4 linked regions of the Pelodiscus sinensis genome follow. The protein of the gene in region 4 purifies or fractionates together with the protein of the main gene of each other region. This does not show direct contact. Links are inferred from orthologs where the notes say so. Each region holds a gene or a part of one and is shown on either strand. Other genes may lie near its edges.

The links.
Region 1: the proteins of COPG1 (region 4) and COPB2 purify together in Homo sapiens (co-immunoprecipitation; 8 studies listed by BioGRID and IntAct, counting the BioPlex papers as one, with this or other methods). This does not show direct contact. The link is inferred for Pelodiscus sinensis from reciprocal best matches to the Homo sapiens genes COPG1 and COPB2.
Region 2: the proteins of COPG1 (region 4) and COPB1 fractionate together in Homo sapiens (co-fractionation; 11 studies listed by BioGRID and IntAct, counting the BioPlex papers as one, with this or other methods). This does not show direct contact. The link is inferred for Pelodiscus sinensis from reciprocal best matches to the Homo sapiens genes COPG1 and COPB1.
Region 3: the proteins of COPG1 (region 4) and ARCN1 purify together in Homo sapiens (affinity purification with mass spectrometry; 6 studies listed by BioGRID and IntAct, counting the BioPlex papers as one, with this or other methods). This does not show direct contact. The link is inferred for Pelodiscus sinensis from reciprocal best matches to the Homo sapiens genes COPG1 and ARCN1.

The regions. Positions count from the first base shown.
Region 1 is NC_134720.1:11,280,730-11,287,795, forward strand, and holds the start of COPB2 (coatomer subunit beta'), read right to left. Parts: upstream 3,018-7,066; 5' UTR 2,866-3,017; coding exon 2,863-2,865; intron 1-2,862. UniProt on the Homo sapiens protein: The coatomer is a cytosolic protein complex that binds to dilysine motifs and reversibly associates with Golgi non-clathrin-coated vesicles, which further mediate biosynthetic protein transport from the ER, via the Golgi up to the trans Golgi network.
Region 2 is NC_134714.1:109,062,062-109,069,023, forward strand, and holds the start of COPB1 (coatomer subunit beta), read right to left. Parts: upstream 3,020-6,962; 5' UTR 2,848-3,019; exon of another isoform or gene 2,844-2,847; intron 1-2,843. UniProt on the Homo sapiens protein: The coatomer is a cytosolic protein complex that binds to dilysine motifs and reversibly associates with Golgi non-clathrin-coated vesicles, which further mediate biosynthetic protein transport from the ER, via the Golgi up to the trans Golgi network.
Region 3 is NC_134736.1:861,740-869,227, forward strand, and holds the start of ARCN1 (coatomer subunit delta), read right to left. Parts: upstream 3,021-7,488; 5' UTR 2,867-3,020; coding exon 2,864-2,866; intron 1-2,863. Other genes in the region: IFT46 (intraflagellar transport protein 46 homolog), read left to right, coding at 3,408-3,425, 3,585-3,681, 4,202-4,281, 5,322-5,455, 6,532-6,606, 6,710-6,803. UniProt on the Homo sapiens protein: Component of the coatomer, a cytosolic protein complex that binds to dilysine motifs and reversibly associates with Golgi non-clathrin-coated vesicles, which further mediate biosynthetic protein transport from the ER, via the Golgi up to the trans Golgi network.
Region 4 is NC_134721.1:25,627,725-25,635,256, reverse strand, and holds the start of COPG1 (coatomer subunit gamma-1), read left to right. Parts: upstream 1-4,510; 5' UTR 4,511-4,661; coding exon 4,662-4,698; intron 4,699-7,532. UniProt on the Homo sapiens protein: The coatomer is a cytosolic protein complex that binds to dilysine motifs and reversibly associates with Golgi non-clathrin-coated vesicles, which further mediate biosynthetic protein transport from the ER, via the Golgi up to the trans Golgi network.

The sequences.
Region 1 (7,066 bases), on a different chromosome or scaffold from region 4:
ACCTCCCATTATACCCTGATTCTGCGTGTCCATCTATGAATCAATTTGTTCAAGAATTCCTCCTAAATAGTAAAAGCTAGAATCACCACAATTTGTTTGCAGCTTCCTTTCATCAAAACTTAAAGCAAGGACAGGGTTTTATTGTGCCAAGACAATGGGATGTGCATGGAATGCGACTGTTTGTGAAACACAAAGTGAGGAGGTGTGATAGCGAGAGTTATACTTACTAGTGACCAGAAGGGGATAAGTAAGCACCCCAGCTCCGGGGAGCAGCTGTTGGCTGGCAGCACAGCTCAATTATCCCTGGGGAGCAGCCACCAGATGCCTCTACCCCCTCCCCTGGGCCTGCTCACATCTCCCAACTCCCTGCTCTGATTCCTGCACCCCTTACACCTCAACTCCCCTACTCTGAAGGACCTGAGGAATGACAGGTAAGTCTTCTAGTAGAACTATAAAATAAATAATAATTCCTCAGTTGAAACATGCTAATTTAGTATGTAGAAGAGTACAAACAAGTCATCATCTGTATGAAATTTTAAGTTGTACTAGGGCTGTCAATTAATTGCAGTTTTGACCACTCAGTTAAGAACAGCATCCAAAATGAAATTAAGTATTTTTGGAGGTCTTCAATGACATTGACTTCAGTTACAACACAAAATGCAGAGTACAGTGCTCATCTTATAATTCAATTAATATATTTGCACTAATAGTATTTTTCAATTCACTACATAAAAATCACTTTAGTAGTCTCTATATTGTGAAAGCACAACTTATAATTTTTTTTGTTACAAAACTGCACTCAAAAATAAACAGTGTAAAACTTTAGCACCTACAAATACATTCAGTTCCATTGCTTATTCAGCCAACTCTTAAGACATACACATTTGTTTATATTTAATGGAGATAATGCTACCCACTTCTTAATTACTAGCCAATTAGCCTGTCATCAGATGGGATTTTCAGGTCTCTCCTCCGCTTTGGTCTTCTCCCCTGAGCCTCCGGTCTCTGTCTCTCTTGGTCTCTCTCCCCTCCTCCTACTGCCTCCCCCTCTCTCTCTCAGCTCTCCTCCGCCTCCTGCCTCTGTCTCTTTCTTTCTCTTCTCCCCTCCTGCCTCTCACTCTCCCTTTTCTCTTCTCCTGCCTCTCTCCCCGCTCCCCTTCCCTTCCCGCCGTGGTGTTTGGCTGAGTGCTGCCCACTCAGCTGGGACACCATGGGGGGGGGGGGGGCGGGGAGGAGGTCAGGCAGTGACGTACACGGCCAGGGGGCGGGGCCGTGTACATCACCGCCCCGCCCCCCCTTTCCCCTCCCACCGTGGCACTCAACTGAGTGCTGCATGCTCAGCCAGGCTGCTGTGGGGGAGCCAGCGGTGCAAGCGGCCATTTGGGCTTTCCCACGGTGGCTCGACTGAGCACGCAGCACTCAGCCGAGCGCCACAGCTGGAGAGGAAGGGGGTCGGTTCGGTGACGTACACGGCTCCGCCCCCTGGCCGTGTATGTCACCACCCACCTCTTTCCCCTCCCACCGTGGCACTCGGCTGAGTGCTACGCCACGGAGCTGGGCAGCGGCAGGGGAGCAAGCGATGCTGCATGGGGAGCACGGACCCCAAACGGCCGCTTGCCGCTGCTTGATCCCCCGCCGCGGGCCAGCTGAGTGGCACAGCACTCAGTCGAACACCACAGCAGGAGAGGAATGGGGGCAGGGAGGTGATGTACATGGCTGGGGCGGGGCCATGTACGTCATCGTTACAGACACTGGGCTACTATATATATCTGACAAGGGAAGAACAGGTATCAAAAGTAGAAAGTAAACATGTGGTCTCACTTTCAGGTGACATGTTAACAGGTAAAATTATCCCTGGAAGTGTAAATGAACAAGTTTGAGTGATTTGCTGAACATGAAGGAGGACAGGCCAGATTCAGCCCACCCAGCCATTAATCCAGCCCATAGCTCACCCTGCCCCACCACTCCACACATGCTAATCAGACCTGGAGGGCGGGAAAGCACGTGACATTTCCTCCCCCACCAGGGCGTGCAGCGCCAGAGGAAACACCAGCTGTTCAAAACAGCTGATGGTTTCTTTTAGGTGCTGTGCACCCCAGCTGGTTGGGGACAGTAGACATTGTTCAATCCCACAACCCATTAAGGAGCATACACAGCCTTCCTCCCCTCACCCGCAGGCAGTGCCTAAAGTACCTCTTCCACCCAAGGCCCATTTCTTCCATCTAAGGCCCCGCCCCCTGGACCTGGCCTGCAGCCACTACCAACAATGGTGAAGTGGTACTCCTACAAAAATTACTGCCCACCACTGGAGTAGCTCTACATTAGTTTATTTTTGAATGCAGTTTTTTTGTACATTATTCTAATTTCATGATAAATTCAACTTTCATGATCAAGAGATTGCACTACAACACTTAATGGGAACTGAATAAATATTTTTTTAACAGAGCAAAATCATGTAATAAAAATAAAGTGAGCACTTTTCTATTCTATTTTGTAACAGAAGTCATATTTGCAAACGTGCAGAAAGTAGCAAACATGCCAACTAAACAAATGGCCTTACCCGTCACTAACACCCAACGTTTAATCGCTTGACAGCGCTAATTGTACTGGCTCCCTTCGGCCTTTCACGCAACCTGCTGCAAAACCAGCCCAATAGCGAGATGGGCTGGGCTGATGCACCTCCTGGGACATCGCTGAGCAACCCCGGGGCGCGCGTTCTGAACCCTGAAGCCCGGCCCGCGGCCTCGGGGACAGCGCCGGCCTGCAGGAGCGGGAGCGCCCCGGCCCCCGACAGCCCCCCGGCGAGGGATCAGCTCTAGACACCCCGCGGGCAGCTCCCCTCGCCCCCCGCCGCGGACTCACCATGGCTCCTCCGCCCCCAACCCGGCAGCAGCTGAGACGTCGCTCTCCGACTCCAACTCAGTTGAACTACGTGGAGCTTCCGGCCCTACAGGTCTCGCGAGATAAGGGATAAAAGCGAGAACGCCGTACACAAGCGCTTCCGCATCTGAAACATCGCGAGGACGAGACTTCCTGTCCCCACGGTTCAGGACCAACGGAGACCAAAGTAGGCCACGGCACCAGCTTCCCTCAGAGGTGCTGTCATCAAGCCTTAGGAGCGGGGCCTGCCTGATTGAATTGCAGTCCATATGTGCCGTAATGCATCCTGGGACACGTAGTCATTGCACAGCGAAGTGAGACCAGCGGCCGTGGGCAGGTGCGCCGCGGCGCATGCTGGGAATTGTAGTTTCTATGCGGGGGTCTCCAAAGCGTCCCTTCTTCATCCCAGTTACAGAAGCGGGGGCATCGAGCCGCCGGCAGGGGACTGTTCACTTCGTGGCCGTGACCCCCGCCCAAGCGCAGAGCCTCGCACTGATGCTCCCCGCAGTTCTCTGGACATTAGCCTAGGGCAAGATGAGGGGCAAAGGGCCATTGGGTCAGACCAAAGGTCCATCTAGCCAAGCATCCGGTCTGCCAGCAGTGGCCAATAATGCCAGGTGCTCCAGAATATAATAGAGAGGCAGCCCTGTTAATCTGATCTTGCAAAAACAAAAGGAAAAACTATGCAGCACTTTAAAGACTAACAAGATGGTTTAATAGGTGATGAGCTTTTGTGGGCCAGATCCACTTCCTCAGATCATATTCTGGAAGAGAATTGGCATGACCATATATACCAAAGGAATACAATGAAAAAGCAAACACATTATTAAACTGACATCAGATTTAGTACAGAAGGTGGGGTGAGGAAGAGGGACGGAGGGAATAGCTATTATGAATCAATGTTAACTCTGGAGACACAGATCCACAGTTTAAGAACTGCAAAACTAAGCATCTCTGATGGTATCTTCTGGACTGAGCACTGAGTCTTATTGGGTACACTGAAAGATTAACCTAAATAATCTATACAGAACCTTCTGGAATCCCATAAGATTGGGTCCATAATCCATGAACTATTGGAATTCATTTACAAAACTTTTCTTAAACACTAGGGCTGTGTCTACACTGGCGCGATCTTGTGCAAAAGCGGCCGCTCTTGCGCAAAAACTTTCTGCCTGTTTACATTGGCCGTGTATTCTTGCGCAAGTAAACTGACGGTCTAATGTATGAAATCAGGGCTTCTTGCCCCAGAACTCTGATGTTCCCACTCAGGAATAAGCCCTTTTGCGCAACTGTTCTTGCGCAAGAGGCCAGTGTAGATAGGCAACATGAATTTCTTGCGCAAGAAAGCCCTATGGTTAAAATGGCCATCAGAACTTTCTTGCATCTCTTGCGCAAAAGCACATACCAGTGTAGATGCTCTCTTCTGGAAGAGTTTTTGCAGAAGAACTCTTCCGCAAAAGAGTTTTTGTGCAAGATCATGCCAGTGTAGACGTAGCCTACATTAATATATTGTTTCATTGTATAAAATTAGAATTTATAATCCCTATTCCATGTTGATATATCTTTGAGCTATAATGTAAATGAAACTATCTTTAGATACATTTTTCCTCAAAAAAAATTGTCAAAAAATCTGATTAAATAAAAATATCTGATTTCTTCTTTTTTTTAATTTGTTGATTTTTATCTACCCTGCTTCTTAGTCACTTGTCACTTTGGTTGTCTTGGTAACTTTCCACTGCTCCAAACCCCCAGCCTCCTGGTTTCCCAACTCTCATACCCTTCTTACTCTAACCATTTTGATCAGTTGTCAAGCTGTAACAATGACTCATCATTGTTCTTGGTATTGCAGAGATTTGACAACCCCATCAGCTCATAGAGGGTACACAGAAGGATATTGCCAATACAGCAGTTTTCATAGTAGTATAATGTCAAATAGAATTAATAAGTTATGCATATGTTTCTCGAATACATCAGAAACTAGAAGGACAATAAAAACCCAGGCCAATTCACAATTCAGGAGAGCTGATATATAGTATTGTAAACCTTGAAATGCTTATAAGTCATGAGAGCAGGAGAAACTGAAGAAAGAGAGCTAACCAAAAACATCAGTGTTGGAGAAAGAAGTGGAAGAGTGTTCTAAGGAGCATATGAGCATACACGAGATTTGTTTTTATCTTTGGGGAACTTAAGATCTTGCACAGAGAGGGAAGAAGACTTAAATAGTGAGTCGGAAGCAGCTGGTGGTTGTTGGATTGCCCATCCTCCTACTCTCCCCTAACCTCGGAGTTTCCACCACACTCAACTTATGTAGTCATATTTCCCATAATTGGAGATATGGTAGGAGTCACCACAACTGGAGTGCAATAGCCTCACAAAGGGAAAACTACCTTATAGCCATAATATCTCCCCTGCCAGATGAGTGAGTGTAGGATTCCATGGAATACAATATGATGGGGACTAATCTGGCTACAACTACTCAAGAGAGAGATCTTGGAATCATTAATAGTCAAAACTGCAAATAGAATGTTAGGAATCATAAAACCAGGGATAGAGAATGAGACAGAGAACATCTTATTGCCTCCATATAAAATCATGGTACTCATATCTTGAATACTGCATACAGATGTGGTCGCCTCAGCTCAAAAAATATATTGGAAAAGGTTCAGAAAAGGGCAACACAAATGATTAGAGGCTTGGAACATGTCCCATTTGAAAAGAGATTAAAAAGACTTGGACTTTTCAGCTTAGAAAAAAGGAGACTAAGGGTACATCTACACTGTAACACTATTTCGAAATAACCAGCTCTGTTACTAAATAACTTAGTCCGCATCTACACAGCAGGCAGTTATTTCGAAATAATGTCAAAATACTGTTAAGCTGGAGGACTTCTTACTCTGATTTCTGCAACCCTCATTGTACGAGGAGTAAGGGAAGTCGGAGAAAGAGTGCACTATTTCCAAATAAATGCTGTGAGGACTTTCCCTATTTCAAAATAAGCTATTTTGAAATAAGATACGCAATTGATGTAACTCAACATGCATAGCTTATTTCAAGTTTAGCCATGCAGTGTTGATACACTCCAAGAGGGGATATGATAGAAGTCTATAAAATCATGACTGCTGTGGAAAAAGTGAATAAGGAAAAGGTACTTATTCCCACAATATAAGAACTAGGGGGTCACCAAATAAAATTAATAGGCAGCAGGTTTAAAACAAACAAAAGGAACTTTTTCTTCACTCAGCACACAGTCAACTTGTGGAATTCCTTGCCAGAGGATGTGGTGAAGGCCAGGACTTTAACAGGGTTCAAAAAAGAGCTTAATAGATTCATGGAGGTTAGGTCCATCAATCGCTATTAGCCAGGATGGGTAGGAATGATGTCCCTAGTCTCTGTTTGCCTGGAAATGGGTAACAGGAGAAGGCTCATGTGCAGATTATCTGTTGTGTTCTCTCCCTCTGGGGTATGTGGCATTGGCCACTACTGGCTGACAGGAAACTGGGCTAGATGGACCTTTAGTCTGACCCAGTATGGCCATTCTTATGTTCTTATATTTTTGTGTTCTTAATACTTCTGGGGGAATGTTGAATAAAAAACTAAACATTCTGCACCCAATATTTTAAAGTTCTGCATATTTTATTTGTTCAAATGATACAATATAATCATGTCAGATTCAATTATTTTGGTAATTATTTCAAAATACCTATGAGCAAGTATGTCTAGCAATATAGAGAACAAAAAAATCCAGGAAATATTCGTCAAATTACTTACTAGGAATATTAATACAGAACTTTGAGTAATAATTAATTTAAATTACAAAATAGACATGTATTTTCTGCACTCCTCAGAAGCCAGTGCAAAGACTTGGGGGAACAGGAGGAACAGAGAAGCTGAGAGAGATGGAAGTAGTGGAAAGGAGTCTGAGTGTGAACTTGGAGGGCAGTTGGATGTAGGAGGGAGAAGTATGGTACTTTGGGGGATAGGAAGAGATTATTAGGGAGTTAGGGAGCCTCCCCCCATGCAGACCCCTACCCTTCCCCATTTATACAGGAACCTGTTGCTGTGTGTCCCTGCATCACCATCCCTCACCATATTTCCCTGCACTCTGACTACAATTCAGCTCCTGGCTTTATGCTGTCACTAACTCCTGTGCCCTTCCTGCAAAAAGTCCAGTGGTTCCTTTCCTGCT
Region 2 (6,962 bases), on a different chromosome or scaffold from region 4:
AGGCTCTGAGACAGGACAATGTGGATATCTTTTCCAAACACTCCAAAGCAAAGAAAAGGCAGCATCAAGATGGTTAAGGGTACTGTGATAAGTCTGAAAGTCTGCTAAAGTTAAAAGCTCCATCAGAATTATGATAATGGACTACATCAATGTCAACTACCCATGTGATCTTGTGTCCCAATGAGCTCACCTGCTGGAACTTACTCATTTTGAGAAATGTGAAACTTTGAGCTTATGATGATGATAAGTGCAACAAAATATGCAGCAAGTGCTGAGAATTTTTACATGGCATCTAATACAAATGTTCTGCTCCCCCTACCCTATCTTGAGACCCATGTGAGACTTCATAGACAGCATAATCAAGTATTGTTGATTAGTGTATATAAAACAGGGTGCTAATATAAAACATTTCATAACTGCATAAAAATGCTTATAAAAATCAGACAAAAATACAAAAGCATCACAACAGTTAGTAAAAAAACTGCTCTTTTATTTTTACCATCCAATTATAAATCAATTGGAATACGTTTTGGTGCATCACATATAGTGCAGTATAAATAAGTCATTGTTCGTATGAAAATTTAGTTTGTACTGATATTGCTAGTGCTTTTTATGTATCATGTTGAAAAAGTAGGCAAATATTCGTATGAGTTGACTTTTCCTCTCCTGCATATCCCCCCAGGGTATTTGCACTCTGCTTGAGCCCCAATGCCCTAAACCATTCCCTAGAATTACAGAGCTGCATAACTGTTTTTCAGCAACTGCACATATTTTAGCACTCTCTGAAGACACAGGCTAAAACATATCAAGATTGCAAGGTAAATTTATAATTGCTTATAATAGGGATTTGAGGCTTACCAGTGGTGGAGCAGCTCCCTGCCTACTGCAGCCAGGGGACTACTCTAGCACAGCCCCTGCCTTTGGTGTGCACCCCACAGGCAAGGGCTGCTCCAATCAGGATGCCAGAACAGCCCCTGCCTGACATGTACCCTGGACCTCCACAAGCAGGGGATGTTCTGGCATCCCAGCCCATGCAGCCCCTGCCTGCAGTGGGAAGGCTACAGCCAGGGGCTGCTCTGACTGGACTGAAGCAGCCTCTGCCTGGGGAGGAGGAGGAAGGGAAGGGAAGGGGACATTCCACCCAGAGGCAGACAGGGGCCCCCCCACTCACCCCTCTTTAAATCGGTTAACTGGTTAAACAATATAATTAACCAGTTAAACAGGATTTTATATCTCCAGCTTACATCATCAGTTCAAAAACTGTCATTTTTCTAAGTAACTATTCCCTGATGAAAACTAGCGACAATATTAGTTCAAAATTTTAAAGCGCATGTTTTAGTTCACATTTTCCTATTTTTTATGAAAAAATGAAACACTTCAGATAGTAACTATACTTAGGGATGTCAACATGTAAATGACTACACGATTAACTGATAAACCAAGGCTTATTGGTTAATCCTGTTGACTACAGGCATTCTCTCCCCCTTGCTGCCTTTGTATCAGAGGCAGCAAGGGGGGGCAGGTGGGCACCGACTCCACGGATCCCTGCCCCTGCACTGCTAATTCCAGCAGCAGCACCGAGGGTGAAGGGGGCAAGCAGGATCCAAATACGCATATGGATTTGCCTGCCCCTCCTTTCTGCCTCCTACAGAGGCAACGGGGCATGGGGACGAGGACAGAAGCACTGGCTCTGTGGAGTCGCTTGCCCCCCACCCACCCTCCCTGTCCTGTCCTGTCCTGGCACATCCAGGCTTGCTGTGGACAGAGATTGCTCTGTGGGATGTGGAGCAGCATACAGGGTATACCGTCCCACGCTCCTGCCTCTGTTTTTAAGCCAGCTCCCCTTGCAGACCAACTCCCATCTGCCACCCCATACTGCTACTTCTGAGAGGCAGCAACACAGGATGGCAGGGGGCTCCCCATGAGTAGGGCCAGAGTGCACTGACTGCCAGCTCTGTCCCCAGGGACTATGTAATAGTCATGTAACTGCTAAATTTTGATGCAATCACATGACTTCAATTACACACTAACACTCCTAACTATAATATTCTCTATGTCAACATACCACAGAATGGCTATATATAAAAAAAAATACCATGGCCCCAAACCTGAAAATTCATATTGACTTAATTTTAAGCACGGGCCATTAACTTCAAAGCGAATACTCCTGCACAAAGTTATTCAAATGTTTGCAAGATGAGGAACTTAAATAGCACACAAAGTACTATTAAAAAGAATAGTAAACAAAGATTTACTTCATAACCTCTATTATAGCTACCTACAGCTACAACTTGTCATTGTCCTTGTGTGCACCGTAACGCCATGGATTTAACGATACTGCTACGTGATCACAACAAGCAGCACGTTTAAAACCCAGAAGTTACACACACACCAGCTGAGTGGGTCTTTGCTGAAACTCTCCACAATTTTACTTGACACGGAGAGTTTCAGCCCCAAGAGAACGACGCTTCCCAGCAGAGGTGAACTCGTAGCAAAGCTGCAGCCTCGGCCCCGGCCCGTGCGAGGCGCTGGGGCAGGCGGCGTGGGATCCTGCGGGCAGCCCGGGTAACTGCTGCGGGCCCACAGGGGCAAAACGAATCTCAGGACGGTTAAACCTCGCTGCCTCAGCAAGCCGGGGCGCGAGCAGACCTCGCAGGGCCCGGCTCCGTGGCGCGCTACCCCCTTGCGCGGGGGCCGCGCCGGTTACCCGCCCTCGCACCCGCGGCCAGGCGTTGGCCCGACTCCCCGGCAGAGCGGAGCGAGGCCGCCGGCTCCGGAAGGGGGCGGGGGCCGCTCTCCGACCACGGCCCGCAGCACGCCCCGAGCCCCTGGAAGCGCTGTACCTGCCTCCAGTGCTGCCCGCGGCGGGACCCCCGGAGCCCCGTCTCTGCCCGTTCGGCGGTGGCTGACGTGGAACCACTCCCCGCGACAGGCCACATCGGTACTACGGCGGCCGCAGCAGGACACGCCTCCTCCGCGCGCAGCAAGGCACAAAGTCGCCTGGTTCCGGTGCGTGTGTGTGGGGGGAGGGAGGGGGGAATACAGCCCCGCGCATGCGCGGCTCTCACACCACGTGACCGCGACCTCCAGCCGCGGTCTCCAGGCAGGCACTAGCTGAGCAGCCACGTCACTGCCCCCGGGTGTCCTCATCAGAGCGCGGGGGGCGTGGCTCCAACTCACACCAACGCTGCGACTCCGAGCGCCCGCCCCGAAGGCCCTGCTTAGGAGGGTACTGAGCATGCGCATCCGAACTGAGCAGGTTCCCTGGCACGTGCCCTTGCTTGCTCTTTAGAGAGTTTGCAAAGGGGCCACGTCGCAGCCGGTGGGTGAGCAGGGTCTGAGTAGGGGGCAGAAATGTACTTGTCTGGGGGGGATCATGCAGTGCTGGCCTTACCATGAGGCGAACTGAGGTGGCTGCCTCAAGTGCCAGACTGTGAGGGGGCACCACTAGGACCTAGAATGTAGAAAATTGTGTTTGCTGCTGATGCATGTGTATTCTGTCTGCAGTACCATGGGCAGAGTAGAGCAGGAAGAAGGCAGAATTGAGACCTTTCAAAGTTTTGGCCCAAGCGAGGGGGCATCGGGGCATCATTTGAGAGTCCTGCTTCAGGTCCCAAAATGTTGTGGGCAGGCCCTGGGATCAAGCAAGATATAGTGACAATGGACGAACTGGCCTGCCTGGGGAAGAAAAATCAGAAGGGGAGTCTTGGACCAGAGGATGTGAAGGGCAGTCTTGAACCCATGGCAAATAGCAGAGGCTGATAGATGGGGATCTTGGCTGACAGAATTTGCTAAGTAAGCAAAAAGAGGATGTCTGGTGGTACCTACTACTGATAGAAAAATTGATCGGTCACCAATTGTGTCACCACAGCTGCCCCATTGCAGCACTGCTGGGCTTGACTGTAGCCCCAGCCACTTCATCTGGGCAGTGACTTCCCTTCCCTATGGCTGTTCCCCTCCCTGCCCCAGGAGTTGCATCACTCACTGCATCGCTCCCCTCTCACTGCATCGCTCCTGCTCCATGCCCAGAGCTGTGAGGCTGTAGCAGAGGAGCGAGCCCTGTGCCTGAGCCAGGCTGGCACTACAGTTGCCAGCTGGTTTTGGAAAAAATACTGAACCAAAAAAAGGCCCCTGAGAGTTGTTAAGCAAAAAACAAAAAAACAGAGTGTGGCCCCTTTAAGAAATGCATGGTGAGGCTTTTTGGCCTTAACAGGCTGATGGTGGCCGCTCACCATCTTGCCTCCCTGTGTCAGGCTGAACAGTTCACCTGCAGAATCCGGTAAGCACCTCTCTGTATTAAGCTGGATAGCCTGGGATTTTCGCCTCCTAGCCGGGAAAAAAATCAGAAAGTACAGGACATTTCAGGTGTCCGGTATTTTCTGGATTTTTTTACCGGACAGGAGGCGAAAATACTGAACTGTTCGGTTCAGTACCAGACACCTGGCAACCCTAGCTGGGACCTAGTTGTCCAAGCTGGCCTAGGAATGTCCCTCCCTTTGTCCAGCCCCGCTCACTGTTTCCAATGATTTCAGTACATCTGTGCTCCACTCCCACCCCCAGCTCAAAAGACAGTCTTGGGTCAGAGCAGCCAGAGAGGGGAAGTCCCAGAGATGAGGCTAAGGAACGAGGAGCGTGAAACACGTGCATTGCACCAATTGCCTGACATAGGACAGTCCACTGGGGGCTGAACTAGGAGGACAAAGTGGGAAATAGATCCTCCAGTCTTTCCTTGCCAGTCTTCCTCAGAGTTAAGGTAAAATTGCTCTCTGCCTTACCACAGGGTCTGTCTGTGCCGAGGACTTCGCCAGCAGGTTCCCCAGCCTGGCATTCAGGTTCAGACTCTGCAAAGCAAAGGAGAGCTATGGGTCAGAGTTCGGGAAACTTGGGTTACACCTGCCACAGGATGTGGGTCTCTATAAAGTACTGGCCTGGCTCATTCAGATCCCAATGCAGGCAATTAACAAGGGTTCAGGGCAGGGTGCCAGCTGGCTCCTCAATCCATGACCTTAGGAGGAATCTGTGGAGGGCCTCGTAGGTAACAAAGTAGGGAAGACCCAAGCTGCTATGGATGGCACCTAGGCAAAACATAGCCTGCTATGTAAGGAAGGAAGGAAGAAGTCCTCCTGGGAGGGTAACATGATGCCCCTCGAGGGAAGGATCCAACACTGCATCTTCTTCCATCTCTGCACACCAACCCCTAGCTCTGGAGCTCCAGCCAATCAAGGGAGCAGGGACCAAAGGTCACTTCTGATCCTGGCAGGGAGGAGCTGAAGATCTCTCTCCCCTTAGGAGGTGTCCTGCCTGAGGTGAAGACGGCATGCAGGGCAGCTCTCAGGAAGTACATCTCCAGCTCTGGCTCCAGGGCAGGATTTATGATGCTGGCAAGAGAGAGGTGTTGATACTAGACTGCAGTGCAGGAGTGGGACTGGCACCAACCTGGATGTGAAACCACAGGGAACAGGCCCAGGCAGGCAAAAATGGAAACTGAGGCACTGACACAGGGGATGTGAAGGCTTCCCAGACAGACAATGGCCTGACTCTGCTGTTCTCCTGTATCTGACCTGGGAGGGATCCTCTCCTCAAGAACCCCATAGCATTATTGGAGCAAAAAGAAGAGTTCAGGCAGAAAACAAGGAACCTTCCTGCCCCTTCTGCTGGAGAAACCATGCTTGGGAGGGAGCCTCAGAGTGGGAGGGGCAGCACCGTGGTTAGGGAGCCAGTTGCGAAGGGCTTAGTACCTGAGCCTGCTCACAGTAGTGAGGGAGTTGGTAAGGATAGCGCCTGACAGCTCCTCAATAAGTCCCTGTGAGGCAAAGGAATAGGAGATTCAGGCTCCACTGACACTTCCCCATGAGGCGATTACACAGTCAGTGCCCAGCACACCCAGCAGGATCCCCCCACCCGCCTCTCTGATTCCAGCCTGCCCAACATACTCGGACCACTCCCAGGAGTCCTGCCCAGCTTGTTCCATTTATCTCCTTCCCTCCTTCCTGTCAAAACTACCCTAACACACACCATCCTGGCTCCCAGCCTGGGCCCATCTGATTCCTTGCCCTAGACTCAGCTGGCCTGACAGCCACTCCAGTCCACACTGCCCTCTCGCAACCAATCTCAGGCTTTCTCCTCTCTCTCTCCTCCCCAGTTCTTAGTCCCAGCAATCCCTGTCCCCCCCTTCTCCCACCACCACCCTGCCTCCATCCATTGGTCCGGGGAAGCCTCGGCTCATCCCAGCTCCCTCCAGCTGCTGGGCACTGCCCTCTCATGCCACAATGACTCCAAGCTATCTCTCTTGAGTAGCTGTAACTAAATGAGTCCCCATCATATTGTATGTATAGTTGGGATTATTTTTTCCAATGTGCATTACTTCACATTTATCAACATGAAATTTAATTTGCCATTTTGTTGCCCAGTCATTTACTTTGGTGAGATCTTTTTGAAGCTCTTCACAGTCTGCTTTGGTCTTAACTATCTTGAGACTTTTGATATCATGTGCAAATTTTGCCATGTCACCATTTACCCCTTTCTCTAGTGATAGAAATGTAGCCGTGTTAGTCTGGTGTAGCTAAAACAAAATACAGGACGATGTAGCACTTTAAAGACTAACAAGATGGTTTATTAGATGATGAGCTTTCGTGGGCCAGACCCACTTCCTCAAATCAAATAGTGGAAGAAAATAGTCACAACCATATATACCAAAGGATACAATTAAAAAAATGTGTTCATTTTATATCCTTTGGTATATATGGTTGTGACTATTTTCTTCCACTATTTGATCTGAGGAAGTGGGTCTGGCCCACGAAAGCTCATCATTTAATAAACCATCTTGTTAGTCTTTAAAGTGCTACATAGTCCTGTATTTTGTTTCCCTTTCTCTAGATCATTTATAAATAAGTTGAATAGGATTGGTCCCAGGATAGACCCTTAGGGAACCCCACTAGCTACTTCTCTTCACTCTGAAAACT
Region 3 (7,488 bases), on a different chromosome or scaffold from region 4:
GCTTCATCCCAGTCACTGACAACCCAAAAGCATGTATGTCAGGTTTGAGCATATTCCACTGTTCAGTCACAGTGGACTTTTTTCAGGCTTTGGACATTGGCCTGTTAGTACTGATTAGTGCGTCAATACGGGAGACTCAGAAAAGTTAACACATCCTTAGTCTCCACTTTGCAAGGATCTAGAGTATAAAAATACTGTTTTAACATATAAAATGTCCCAGTGATCTGCACAATCTAAGGTCACTAGATCAAGAATTTCAAGAAAGTCCTCACTCTTTGTACAGCTATGCTGAACAATTGCATATGGCAGCTTGCATATCTTGTAACTTAAAAACAAATATATAAACAAACATCAGATTTAATTGTTCGGATTTATTTGATTAGATTTAACTAACATTGCAAGTCTAACACCTCAATATTTAACTAGGTTTTAAAAGGTTGGCTCCATTTATTAATTCACAATTTTGTTACTTAGGAGATAGTACTTTCTGGGTGGGGAGAGCACATTACAAACACCCCACATTAAAAAAGTAAGAATTTTCAACCTGCCATAATTTCTTGAGACTACCTTGGGAAAGCAAGAGATACGCCATGTTAAAGATACTTAATATCTTATGCTGCATTGCAAATATTTTGATTCTTTTTCACAGGGGACAAAAATTAAATTAGGTATTCTTGGTTTGGAATTTGTTTTAAAGGCCAAGAGGTTTAAAACAAAAAAGACAGTATTTCTTCAGGCAACACATGGTCAACCTGTGAAACTCCTTGCCAGAGGAGGTTGTGAAGACCAGGACTTTACCAGGGATTAAAAAAAGCTATATAAATTCATGAAGGGTAAGTCCATCAATGCTTATTAGCCAGGATGGTAGGAATGGTGTCCCTAGTCTCTGTTTGTCAGAGACTGGGAATGGGTGAAAGAGGAGGGTTTTCACTTGATGATTGCCTCTTCCGTTCATTCCCTCTGTGGCACCTGACATTGGCCACTGTTGGAAGACACAAGACTGGTCTCTATGGTCTGACCCAGTATGGCCATTCTTATGTACATTGTTCTTAGCCTCACTAAATTAAATTACATATTCTCCCAGTAATAAAAGGTTATAGCAAAGCAATTCCTCATTAAAGGAGCTGTGAAATGTGAATAGTTAAGAATTATATCAAACTAATCCTCAAACACCACAGGATATTTGAATAGAAAGAATTTGATATTATGTACAAATCTGAAACTGAAACAAAGTTATATAGCACTTGATTTTGATGCATTATGCTTACTAAGAAAAGAGTCAAATTATCTCTCTTTTTTTTTTTAAAACACAGTTCAAATATTTATCCCAGTAAATTCAAAGACCACAAAACTAGCTGGAAAGAAGAACAATTATTCAAAGGAACAACCCCAAAAGGTACATGCTCTTTTAAATTAATCTGTCCTTGTGTGCAAATTATCCCACACTGCACTTTGCTTGCTATACTGTCATGACAGTGTGAAAGGTCTAGGTTGGATATTAGGAAAAACTGTTTGACTAGGAGGGTGGTGAAGCACTGGAATGGGTTACCTAGGGAGGTGGTGGAATCTCCATCCATGGAGGTTTTTAAGTCTCAGCTTGACAAAGCCCTGGCTGGGTTGATATAGTGGGGATTGGTCCTGCCTAAAGCAGGGGGCTGGCCTTGATGACCTCCTAAGGTCTCTTCCAGCTCTATGATGTGTAACATTTTCCTCTATATCATTTAACAGGTCTTTTCTCTAATCAAAGTTGTTTCTCCACCTCTAACAGGGTATGAAGCTGTTTAACACTCATTTACTAATTTATCAAGAAATGTAAGCAAATTATACTATCCTTGGCCACAAAAACCACATGCTTGAAGTTGGGTACAAGCCTGTTACTACAAAGAGTCAAATGTAATTTACTGCAATTAGGAGCCAATCTAGCCTCTTTGCAATACAAAGAGCTACAATGTGAGTTCATAAAAAACAGAATACAACTGATACACGTTTAAATCCCCTACATGAAGCTATATATATGTATATATTTGTATCGTTCCAAGCTGATATATAGATCATATAGATGTATTGACCTGTTTATACAAACTCTGGACCAATATTAAACTGTAGGATTAGTAAGCAATTTTTCATGCCCACTTGACATGACTTAAAGGAACCTGATATTCAGACAGTGTGAAGTAATCAATCTCTGAAAGTAAGGCTCTTTCAACTGGACAAGCAAAGTAAATGTACTTGGACTAGATTTAAAACCCCCCACAAATGCAGGGTCACAAGGTCTGAGGTCACAAGATCATGAGGACAACTGGATTATTTTCCCAGATATATTATTGATTCATGTAATTTTCGGGAAGACCACTTAACTGCTGTGCACCTCAAGTTTTGCCAACGTAAACTTAAGATAATATCTGCACAACAGGGTTATGCACGTTAATACCATTAGCAATAAAGTACGTTGAACTACAGTATTCTCACACGTTTGTAGACAGGTTTTAGCCAACTGTGTGTACTGCTGTGATCTTACACATGGATCTACCCAGCCCATGTCCAGCGGTCAGGTTAGACTCAGACCCGTCCACACGGCCGTGTGACCAAGCCCGGGAGCGGCGAGGTGCCACAAGCCTCTCTCCGCCGCAGGGGGCTGGCCGCTTGGCAGGGCGGCAGAGGTGTCCCAGGCCAGGCCCGGGACCTGCCCGGAACCGGCATCGCCGGCTGCCCGCGGAGAGGCCCCCACAGCGGGGCAGGCCCACGCGAGGCCCCGAGAGCCACACGCCGGCGGGCGGCCCGAGGCCTGGGGCGAGCGGCCGCCGCGGCAAGGCGCCAGGCAGGGGCACGAAGAGGCCGGGCGGGAGCGCGGCCCGGCGCTTACCATGGCGGCGGAGCGTGACTGCGGCCCGGCGCGCTCAGTCTCCCGCGGCCTCAGCAGCGGCCGCCGCGTCTCCCTCCCGCGGCCCCACAAGATGGCGGCGCCGAGCCACGTCCCCAGCCGGAAGCGCCGCCACGCACGGGGGCGGGAGCACCTCGCTCCTCCCCCGCCCGCCGCGCCGCGTGGGTGCGGTGCTCTGAGCCCCGGAGACCCCGCCCCTTGCTGGGGAGGCCCATGCGCGCGCGAGCAGGGGCGGGGCCCGCACGCAGGTGAGAAGCAGAAACACCCCCCCCCAGACTGCGCGTTCCAGCCCGCGCTCCGACAGCCCCGCGCACCTGTCATTCTTTCCTTGCAGTGACGCGGCCCGGCCGCTAGGGGCCGCTGCGCGACGCCCTCCCCTTTCCACAGGAGAGGAGACGCATGGACGTGACTCGATCCGGCCGCCGTAGAGCTGGGGCGGCAACTCTCGCGAGAGCCAGTTTCCAGGGTGACGGGACACAGGGGGTGATGGAGGCCCGGCCTCGGGCAGGGCCCTGAAAGCCGGGACATGGCGGAGGCCCTGCAGGTGACTGGGGGCGGGGGTTGAAACCGTAGCAGGGGGCGGCGCTGCCCGGGTGCTCTGGGTCCCGAAAGGCCCGAGCACCCGCCGGGCAGCCCCAGGCCGCTCCCGGCGCTTTGCAGTCGGCAGCGACAGTGACCCGGACGCGCTTGTCTTTGTCACTAGACCAAAATAGTGGAAAACCAGCCCTACGACGAGAGCCTGGAGATCAACGACTCCGAAGAGGTGGCCAGTGTCTACACCCCAACTCCACGGCAGCGAGGTAGGGCCGCCGCCTCCGCTCCCTCCCTCCCTCGCCGCCGCCGCCGCCGCCTCCGCTCCCGCCCTAAATGCCGACGGGCAGCTTGAGCCTCGCTGCTACAGCGTCTTAGCCTCCCCCAGGGGATGAAAACTCAGTTCCTCAAAACTGGAGGGGAGCAGGCTCGTTGGGATTCGCTGGACGCACGGTGCTGTGGGGGTAAAGCAGAACACGCGTTTTAAATACCAAAGGTGTTCCCTGGGGGTGAAAAAGAAGCTTGAGAGACTAGATGCGGTAAGGACAATTGTCACAAACCTAGGCGTGCACGTGGTTGGTGGAATAGGGATTTGGGCTTTTCCACCGTGGCTAGCCCAGCTGCAGTCTAGTCTAGTTCAGCCTCATGCTGCAATTGAGTAAACATGACTGTTAGAACTTCAGTGTAGGGCCTGTGTAGATAGGTGCCTCAATGTGATAATCCAAGCTGCAATCTCACAACCAAGCTTGGGTAGCATATATACAGAAACCTTCTTGATGATCTCTTCAGCAGGTCCTAGGTCCACATGCTCACAGCTCAAAAACATGGCTGATAACAGCAGTGATGAGTATGATGAAGAAATAAACAAGGTATGAGGTTGTCCATGTTCTTCTTTGCTGATGTAGTTGATCACAGCATTTTGTAGCCCCCATCTACCTGGGACTTGTTATCTGTATGTTGAGTCCTACTGGGGAAATTTCTTAATGTTTTGTGATTATTTTTAAGACCCATTTTGAGTAGAAAGAAATGTAATTGCAGTACTTTTTGGCAAGACACATTATTTGTACTAGAAATAGAAGGTAAGGAGGGGGTCAGATTTCTTTTTTCTTCAAGTAAAACAGATGGAACAATGTATATGAATTTGGGAGAATCGGTCTAGAAGGGAATTTTCACATCATGGTAGCTGATACCATCCAGTGTGGATATAATGAATACCAGGCCCACTGACGAAGTGGGTCTTTGCCCACAAAAGCTTATGCTCCAATACATCTGTTAGTCTATAAGGTGCTACAGGACTCCTTGTTGCTTTTACCAGGCCCACTGTTGTTCAGTGGCTGAAGTGGGATAAAAAGAGGGTTGTCAGAGATCAATAGCTTACACCCACGTTTGGCTGGAAACGTAGGGAGTGTTTTTTACAGTTTAGAGAACATACACTGACTATAGGTCAGGACTCCTGAGTTCTATGTCCAGCTCTGTACTAATCAGTTGTGTGGCTTTGCGTGAGCCAGTTTTCTCCTATCTATTTCAGTTTCTCTGGCTGTAAAGTGGGATCATAGTACTTACTGCCTTGGAAAGGGCTGAGTACTGTTTATAAACCATTTTGAGATTCTCTAAAAAAGATAAATTCTTGTTTGTTAGAACTAAATATTCCTCCCCCCCCGCCCCATTGCTGAAACCCATGCATTTGGGTCAGACTAAGAGCAGTAGTAACCCTAGATTAATTGTCTGTGCTGGCATTCCTTTTCCATACCACCCAAGGAAGTTTCTTTTTCACACAGCAGTGCCACCCGTATGTGGCAAACTTTGAACAGAGGGTGTTTTTCTGTTTAGAATGAAAAATGGCAGAGCTGGGAAATGGGGCTGTTGGGAACGTCTGTTGCACCATAACTTTGGTTTTAACATGACCTAGGAAAAGAAGGTAGCTCAACTGGCCCCACAGCGAGGATTTAGTGAGAACGAGGATGGAGAGGATGAGGATGATTCGTCTGAAACTGACTCGGACGATGACGATGATGAAGAGGAGCATGGAGCCCCTTTGGAGGGGTATGAAGGACTCTCAATTTATAAGAACAGTTAGAGGAACCACTGGAATTAAAGTCAAGATCTCCCTTATGAGAGAGACCTGTTCCATCCTAACAGGCCAAATGAGTAATGTTATATTCTGACAGTACTGTGCAGATGTGTCTTTAGATTAGACAGTGTGGGATAAGGGGTTTAAAAGCTGAGACAGATAATATACAGATGCAATGGCACAGTAAGTTTTCAGAGTATCAGCCCTGAAAAATGAAGATACAACGATATAGCTATATTAAGGGGGGAGGGTAGGGTAGAGGGAATGCCATTGACCGTGTGGACAGGACGAGTGTCACTGGGATTTGACATGCATCAGTAAAGATGCATTGTTCATAGATAGAATTGTTCTTAGAAAACTTAAAACTTGGATTCCTAAGCAAGATTCTGAAGTGTTCATTGACACAGGGAGAATTCTTAATTTCAAGTATGCCTGTTAAGTTTCCTGCCTACAAATACCTGCTCATGAACATTTTGAGGTAGCATAGAGCGTAGCCAGGTAGCCTGGCAAAAACTCAGACTTAGTATGATAAACTAGCAGTAACAGAAGGCAGGGATATTAGTGGACCCATTAATATACTCAAAGCATTGTGCTGGACAAAGACAGAATGCAATTGTCTGAAAGAGAGTACAGATGTCTAGCATGCAGGCTAGCCTGCCTCAAGGGAAGTAATTGTTTTATCATTACATTGTATTGTAATATAAGTTTGTTGAGAGTCTGGTTTGCTGCCCATCACTATGATATTATTAATTAAAACTCCAATCAAGAAAGGGGGTAATCGGTGTTGTGAGTGGTGTTCTTATGGTGGAAACATCTTCAAAGAGGAAGAATTTGAAGCATTTCTTAAAGATGTCAAACTCTGGATTCTTTTGATCTCATCTGTAAATTTGTTCTGTAGCCAGATCCAGCCCCCAGTATGGGTATACTAGGCTAAGGAAAGCATTCAAGGCCCTCTCCTCTTTTAACACACCCCTAGGGGATCAGATACAAGTTCTCCATTAAGTTAATCTTCCAGAATCTGTTGGTCTTGAATATCTCTTTTCTATAGTGCCTACAACCCTGCAGATTATGAGTATCTACCAGTGTCTGCAGAGATTAAAGAGCTCTTCCAGTATATAAGGAGGTGAGTATAAGGAGTCTGTGTTGGAATGTCCTTCGGGTGGTTGAAATGGTTACAGAAAGAAATACTATTTTCCTGGATGATACTTTGCTTGTGTTATTCTCAGGTACACTCCACAAATGATAGAGCTTGAACACAAACTGCAGCCTTTCATTCCAGATTTTATTCCAGCTGTTGGAGACATTGATGCCTTCTTAAAGGTACACAGCTTTCAGATCCTTCCCTCTTGTGCACCCATGAAAACAATATTAACTTAGTGAAAAGTAGCATTTGCTTTTCTCTTTGTTGGAACAGCAGTAATCTCAGCACATTGGGTGCTGGATTAAGAACCCAAACCCACTTATGGCTCTCGGTGCCCCCTTATTATTTGAGTTGTCCTAGAAAGCTAGGATTAACAAGACTAAAAGAGGGTGGAGGGAGTTCCCCCCCACTCTGCTGCCTCTATCACCCCAATCAAAGCACACTTAGTACTTTTTTTTTCTTACATTGTTGTAGTTACTATTAAGTGTCCCTCAGGGATCCAACTCCTCCTCTTCAGCTTCACTTCTGCTATTCAGGTACATTCAGTAGAGCCTTTTGTCTGATTGTCCAATCCTCCTTTTCTTGAATTTTGCCATCTTCTAAGGGTTTGTTTGTTTTTTTCCAGAATTTCATTCTTAGTTTTACCTCTGAATTATCCTTCCAGTATGTCTGAGATTTGGATTTCTGTCCCACGTGACTGGAACACAATAATTTCTCTTGTTTGCAGTTTCATACTGGATAATGCGACTGATTGTGGAAGCTGAATGAGTGTGTAAATGGGATCATTATCTCTGGTGGATATCAGGTCTCCTGAGTGCAGCTGTAATGAAGATGAATGAGCTCTGAATGCTCTCTGGCTTTCTA
Region 4 (7,532 bases):
TAAAATAGTTAATTACTTTCACTTTTTTTAAGTGCACTTTATTTCCAGTTTGAAGTGCCTAGCTAAAATATTCCAGATGTAGCACCAGCTGCAATTGTCTTTGTTGGGCAGTCTACTCGCTCTTAGATTTATTGTGTGTGGTGGGGCAGAAATACTTTACTTCTTTGGTGTGGTTCGTGCACTGGATTACACCTTTTAACCTGAGAGAAGTAATTATTAAAAAAAAAAACCCTCAACATGGGAAAAAGGGAAGTTAAAACAGTTAACTGGTTAAACACTAGCACTCAATCAGTTAGCATTTTAATTCAGGGCTTTCTGGCCATGTTCTTCCAGTCCAGCTGCAGCTGAGAAGCCTTGCTGTGGCCATGGAGTCCCACTGCCCAGCTCCTCCACTGCTGGGAGTAGTCTGGCCTGGCAGGGTAGGCTGCTGGCAGTGATCACTGGCAAGGGCTGGTTAGCCAGTAAGCATTATCAGTAAGTCTCTTGCTTACTGGTATACTTACTGGTTAACCATTTAATATCACTAGTGAGAAACATTTATTTTTCCTCATTTAAACCTTGATTGGGAATGCAAACTTTATTCAGAGAGGAACTGTTATTTCCTGAAATGATGCCTTTAAATCCAACTGTGTGTCATCAACAGCTGGAATAACAGAACAGAGTATAAAAACAACAAATGGTCTGGTAGCACTTTATAGACTAACAAAACATGTAGACGGTATCATGAGAATCTACATATTTTGTTAAGTCTATAAAGTGCTACCAGACCATTTGTTGTTTTTTTCTGTAACAGACTAACTCGGTTACTCCCTGAAGCTTCAGAACAGAGTATGATTGTAAAGAGTACTCAGGGTGTCTCACTGGCCCTTACAGAAAGAAAATAGGAACTGGGCACAATAGGACTGCAGAAATGACCCCAAAAGCCACTCTGACCTCAGTGATAGCTCACATGTGGCAACAGACAACACACAGTGTATTACTGCAGAAAAGAACATGAACCAAGGCCCCTTCATTAATCACATTGGATTTTCTTTAATACATTCTCCAATAGTCCCCTGTAGATATGGCAGAAAGGATTAGATTTAACATTTCACAAAAGCTGTAGGTTCAATATACACCTTAAAGGTGTCTCACATCTTTCACCATAGGCTGGAAATATCATCCACTTTGAGCCTTGCTGCCTAATTCTACAGGGGTCTGGTGGAGCAGACCACTGTGCAGAAGGGATGCCGTGGCCTGACCTCATCTAGTGTGTGTTGCCAGATCCCACATCTAAAAGAAGTTATTCTCCCTTTAATTACAGCACTGAGCTTCAGCAGAAAACAGTGTTCCTGTGGCCCAAACCGGCCGCATGGAGAAACAGGAGATTAACACACACAACACTTGAAATAACCTATGTCCAGAGAAATGTTAACTTCATGGGTTATCGTTCCACAGGCTGTGTCCTTCCCCAGTCACCACCCTGCCCCCAGTCACTTCCCTACAAGCTGTGCTCCCCCAGGCACTGCTCCCCCGCCAGTCACTGCCCTACAAGCTGTGCCCCCAAGTCACTACCCTGTCCCCGGTCACTCCCCTACAAGCTGTGCCCCCAAGTCACTGCCCTGCCCCCGGTCACTTCCCTACAAGCTGTGCCCCCAAGTCACTGCCCTGCCCCCGGTCACTTCCCTACAAGCTGTGCCCCCAAGTCACTGCCCTGCCCCCAGTCACTTCCCTACAAAATGTGTCCCCAAGTCACTGCCCTGCCCCCAGTCACTGCCCTACAAGCTGTGCCCCCAAGTCACTGCCCGACAAGCTGTGCCCCAAGTCACTGCCCGACAAGCTGTGCCCCCAAGTCACTGCCTTGCCCCCAAGTCACTGCCCTACAAGCTGTGCCCCAAGTCACTACCCTGCCCCCAGTCACTGCCCTACAAGCTGTGCCCCCAAGTCACTGCCCTGCCCCCAGTCACTTCCCTACAAGCTGTGCCCCCAAGTCACTGCCCTGCCCCCAGTCGCTGCCCTACAAGCTGTGCCCCCAAGTCACTGCCCTACCCCCAGTCGCTGCCCTACAAGCTGTGCCCCCAAGTCACTGCCCTGCCCCCAGTCGCTGCCCTACAAGCTGTGCCCCCAAGTCACTGCCCTGCCCCCAGTCACTGCCCTACAAGCTGTGCCCCCAGTCACTGCCCTGCCCCCAGTCACTGCCCTACAAGCTGTGCCCCCAAGTCACTACCCTGCCCCCAGTCACTGCCCTACAAGCTGTGCCCCCAAGTCACTACCCTGCCCCGTCACTGCCCTACAAGCTGTGCCCCCAAGTCACTGCCCTGCCCCCAGTCGCTGCCCTACAAGCTGTGCCCCCAAGTCACTACCCTGCCCCGTCACTGCCCTACAAGCTGTGCCCCCAAGTCACTGCCCTGCCCCCAGTCACTTCCCTACAAGCTGTGCCCCCAAGTCACTGCCCTGCCCCCAGTCGCTTCCCTACAAGCTGTGCCCCCAAGTCACTACCCTGCCCTCAGTCGCTTCCCTACAAGCTGTGCCCCCAAGTCACTGCCCTGCCCCCAGTCGCTGCCCTACAAGCTGTGGCCCCAAGTCACTACCCTGCCCCCAGTCGCTGCCCTACAAGCTGTGCCCCAAGTCACTACCCTGCCCCCAGTCGCTGCCCTACAAGCTGTGCCCCCAAGTCACTGCCCTGCCCCCAGTCGCTGCCCTACAAGCTGGGCCCCCAAGTCACTGCCCTGCCCCTAGTCGCTTCCCTACAAGCTGTGCCCCCAAGTCACTGCCCTGCCCCCAGTCGCTGCCCTACAAGCTGTGCCCCCAAGTCACTGCCCTGCCCCCAGTCGCTGCCCTACAAGCTGTGCCCCCAAGTCACTGCCCTGCCCCCAGTCACTGCCCTACAAGCTGTGCCCCCAGTCACTGCCCTACAAGCTGTGCCCCCAAGTCACTGCCCTGCCCCCAGTCACTGCCCTACAAGCTGTGCCCCAAGTCACTGCCCTACAAGCTGTGCCCCCAGTCGCTGCCCTACAAGCTGTGCCCCAAGTCACTGCCCTGCCCCCAGTCACTGCCCTACAAGCTGTGCCCCAAGTCACTGCCCTGCCCCCAGTCGCTGCCCTACAAGCTGTGCCCCAAGTCACTGCCCTGCCCCCAGTCGCTTCCCTACAAGCTGTGCCCCAAGTCACTGCCCTGCCCCCAGTCGCTTCCCTACAAGCTGTGCCCCCAAGTCACTGCCCTGCCCCCAGTCACTGCCCTACAAGCTGTGCCCCCAGTCACTGCCCTACAAGCTGTGCCCCCAAGTCACTGCCCTGCCCCCAGTCACTGCCCTACAAGCTGTGCCCCAAGTCACTGCCCTGCCCCCAGTCGCTGCCCTACAAGCTGTGCCCCCAAGTCACTGCCCTGCCCCCAGTCGCTTCCCTACAAGCTGTGCCCCCAAGTCACTGCCCTGCCCCCAGTCGCTGCCCTACAAGCTGTGCCCCCAAGTCACTGCCCTGCCCCCAGTCGCTGCCCTACAAGCTGTGCCCCCAAGTCACTGCCCTGCCCCCAGTCCCTGCCCTACAAGCTGTGCCCCCAAGTCACTGCCCTGCCCCCAGTCGCTGCCCTACAAGCTGTGCCCCCAAGTCACTGCCCTGCCCCCAGTCGCTGCCCTACAAGCTGTGCCCCCAAGTCACTGCCCTGCCCCCAGTCGCTGCCCTACAAGCTGTGCCCCCAAGTCACTGCCCTGCCCCGTCACTGCCCTACAAGCTGTGCCCCAAGTCACTGCCCTGCCCCCAGTCGCTGCCCTACAAGCTGTGCCCCCAAGTCACTGCCCTGCCCCCAGTCGCTGCCCTACAAGCTGTGCCCCCAAGTCACTGCCCTGCCCCCAGTCGCTGCCCTACAAGCTGTGCCCCCAAGTCACTGCCCTGCCCCCAGTCGCTGCCCTACAAGCTGTGCCCCCAAGTCACTGCTCTGCCCCCAGTCGCTGCCCTACAAGCTGTGCCCCCAAGTCACTGCCCTGCCCCCAGTCGCTGCCCTACAAGCTGTGCCCCCAAGTCACTGCCCTGCCCCCAGTCGCTGCCCTACAAGCTGTGCCCCCAGTCACTGCCCTGCCCCCAGTCGCTGCCCTACAAGCTGTGCCCCCAGTCACTGCCCTGCCCCCAGTCGCTGCCCTACAAGCTGTGCCCCCAGTCACTGCCCTGCCCCCAGTCGCTGCCCTACAAGCTGTGCCCCCAGTCACTGCCCTGCCCCCAGTCGCTGCCCTACAAGCTGTGCCCCCAAGTCACTGCCCTGCCCCCAGTCGCTGCCCTACAAGCTGTGCCCCAAAATCACTGCCCTGCCCCGTCACTTCCCTACAAGCTGTGCCCCCAAGTCACTGCCCTGCCCCCAGTCGCTGCGCCGCAGGCTCTTCAGCCCCTCAGACACTCCCGTCTCCCCCATCCACTGTCCCACAGGCTCGGGGCCTCCCACGGCCACTGCCCCGCCCAGCGCTGTCGCCTCCTCCCCTGGGGCGGGCGGTGGTCCAGGCAGCCACGTCAGCCCGACCAACCTCCCTCACGCAACGCGCGTGCGCGGCGCTGTCCGGCTGAGCTGTCCCGGTGACAGGCTGGCAGGAAGCAGCGCCAAGGCCGGAAGTGGAGGTGCTGGATAGAGACCCCCCCCCGGCTCGTGCGGCCCCCGCCCTCCAGGCCCCGCGCGCCCCCCGCCCGGCGCAGGGCAGGATGCTGAAGAAGTTCGATAAGAAGGATGAGGAGGCGGGTGAGTGTGGGACGGGCCCGCCGCGGGGGGGCGGGGCGGCCGTGCCCAGCGGGGTAGAGGACCCCCCCCCCCCCCCGGCCGGGCTCTCCTTCCGAACGCGCCGCGGCTCCGGGGCTGGGCTCTGCTGGTCAGCGTCCGTCCAGCCCCTTGCCACGGGTGTCGGCCCCTTCCCGGGCTGCCCCCCAGCTAGTGACTTTTCCAGGCGGCCCCCTTAACTCTGCCCACAGCCTTCCTCAGTGGCTCTGGCGGAGCCTGCGAGCGTTGCAGACCCCCCCTCCCCCGCCCCCGCCCCAGGAAACTTTGGAGTTGGGTGGATGTTGAGCCAGCTCAGCCCTGGGAGGGCTCCGCTTTAGGGCATTGATAGCACAGGAACAACCCGCCAAATAATCCTTCATTTTCTGCCCGGATCACCTCAACTTGCTTTCCGTTGATTTATCCCCCCCCTCCCCCCCGCTGCACTGCACTGCACTGCACTGATGTCTCAAAGCGAGATGTACAATGAAGGGCAGGTGATTAAGGAGGATGCACCTGAAATGACATAGATCTCCAGCCAAACCCTAACTACTCTGTCCCCTCATGCTCTGCCTCCTCTTCCCTTCCTCCCCATGTCTTGACTCGTTGTCCCCCCCAAACTGGTCACCGGCCCATCCAGCATATGTGTGGACAGCTTTAAAAATATATGGCTGATGTATCAGATGTACCAATTGCAAGTTTATAGAGTAACCTCTGATCCTTTTAGTGGCAGCTTACATTTTGGGGTGGGTGTGTGTGTGTGTGTGTGTGTGTGTGTAGCTTACATTTTGGGGTGTGTGTGTGTGTGTGTGTGTGTGTGTGTAGCTTACATTTTGGGGTGTGTGTGTGTGTGTGTAGCTTACATTTTGGGGTGTGTGTGTGTGTGCAGCTTACATTTTGGGGTGTGTGTGTGTGTGTGTGTGTGTGTGTGCGTAGATTGCTGTTCAAGATGTTTGATGTCGATGTGAAGCAGGAGACAAGTGTTTCTCCTGGTGAAAATATTGGTGTCCTGATCTTTGCAGGAGAGTAGCACTGATACAAAAGTAGGGGTTGGGACTCAGGAGGCATGGAGATGAACACAGTATAAAAAGAAAAGTGGGGATTGGATAAGTATTGCGGAAATTATTATTGGACACACTTGATCCATGTCCTTTACACAGTATTTGAGTGCCACACAGCATTGGAGGATGGACCACAGAATTTGGAAATGGAGAAACTCAATTCAGCTCTCATGGCAGTTCAGGATGGTGAAGTAGTTCAGGGAGCTGTGCCACCTGCACTTGACACAGTAACCCTAGCTGTTCTGTATATTAATACAGGACTTACAGTAAGAAACTGACTATTTAACATGTATGTGATAGGTTATATCAGCGAGGTCCCCTCGGGACTGTCACCTGATATGCTGATCATGCCACTTAGCCTGCCAATCTGTCTTCTGGGGCTCTCCACCATCGTGCCCTGCTGGGCCAAAGCTCTCCCCCAGCCCAGGCGCAGAGTTGGGGCCATAGCTCCCTAGCAGAGCAACAAAGATGTTGAACCAGCTCAGCCCTGGGAGGACTCAGCTTTAGGGCTTTGATAGCACAGGAACATAGCCACAAAGAGGACCAAAACCCTGGGTCCCTTCTCCTGGTTTTAGCTTTTAAATGGATTAAGAGCCATCAAGCTCTCTTAATCCATTTAAAAGACTGGTGTGCAGCAAGGAGGGAGGGGGATCCTGCATGAGTCATGAATCAGCTGTCCTGGCTCATGCTGGGTCTCTCCTGCGCTTTAGCCTTTCCATTTAAAAGGCAGAGATGCAGTGGGGTTAGCTCCCGGGTGGGCTTCCTGCTTATCGACTAATTGACTCCCTGCTTGCAGATCCCGTTGCGGCTTCCTGCTTATTGACTAGTGGATGTTAAATTTAGTTTAATCAACTAATTGATGGATTTTCCATCACTACTTTGTTTTCAGGTTTCTTCCTGTGTGTCCTCTTAGCTTTTGAAATTGCCTCCCCAACCCTATCTGATGACAAAAGACTGATTTTTTTTTTTGTATAAACTTCCCAGGGTGGGAACCCTTTGTTTTATTTTCCCACCCCAAGGAAAAATACCTTATTCAAGATGGATTCCAGCACCAGGTTTCTAGGACTTACCACAGTTTGGACTTAAACGTAAAAACATACTCATTTACAGATCATTGTCTTGAGTGCTGGGCCATTAAGTTTCTTTAAATACCATTAATGGTTTTCACTAGAAGACTTACATTAATAAAACAGGTTTACATTTCATATTTCTAACTTCACATACAAGAATGAAACATGCACTGAAATAGAAGATACACATTTAGCAGATTATAACTTTAAAAATGTTACATGATGCATTTTGCTGAAAATGCCTTTGAGTTATGCATATTCATATTCATAAACCAATTTTAATAAAACACGGGGAGCCTCGTGACCATGTATATGAGAAAAATTATCGTACGTGTCAAACCACGTGTTAAAAAGCAGCCTAGAAACTGACTTATAGACTCTCCAAGGCTGTGTCTACACTGCACCCCTTTTCCAGAAAAGAGATGCAGATTAGACAAGTCGGAATTGCAAATGCAGCGGGGGATTTAAATATCCCCCGCTTCATTTGTATAAACATGGCTGCTGCTTTTTTCCGGCTCGGGGCTTTGCCGGAGAAAAGCGCCAGTCTAGACGGGATCTTTTGGAAAATAAAGCCTTTTCCGAAAGGTCCCTTATTCCTCTTAAAATCAGGAATAAGGGACCTTTCGGAAAAGGCTTTATTTTCCGAAAGATCCCTGTCTAGACTGGCGCTTTTCTCAGGCAAAGCCCCGAG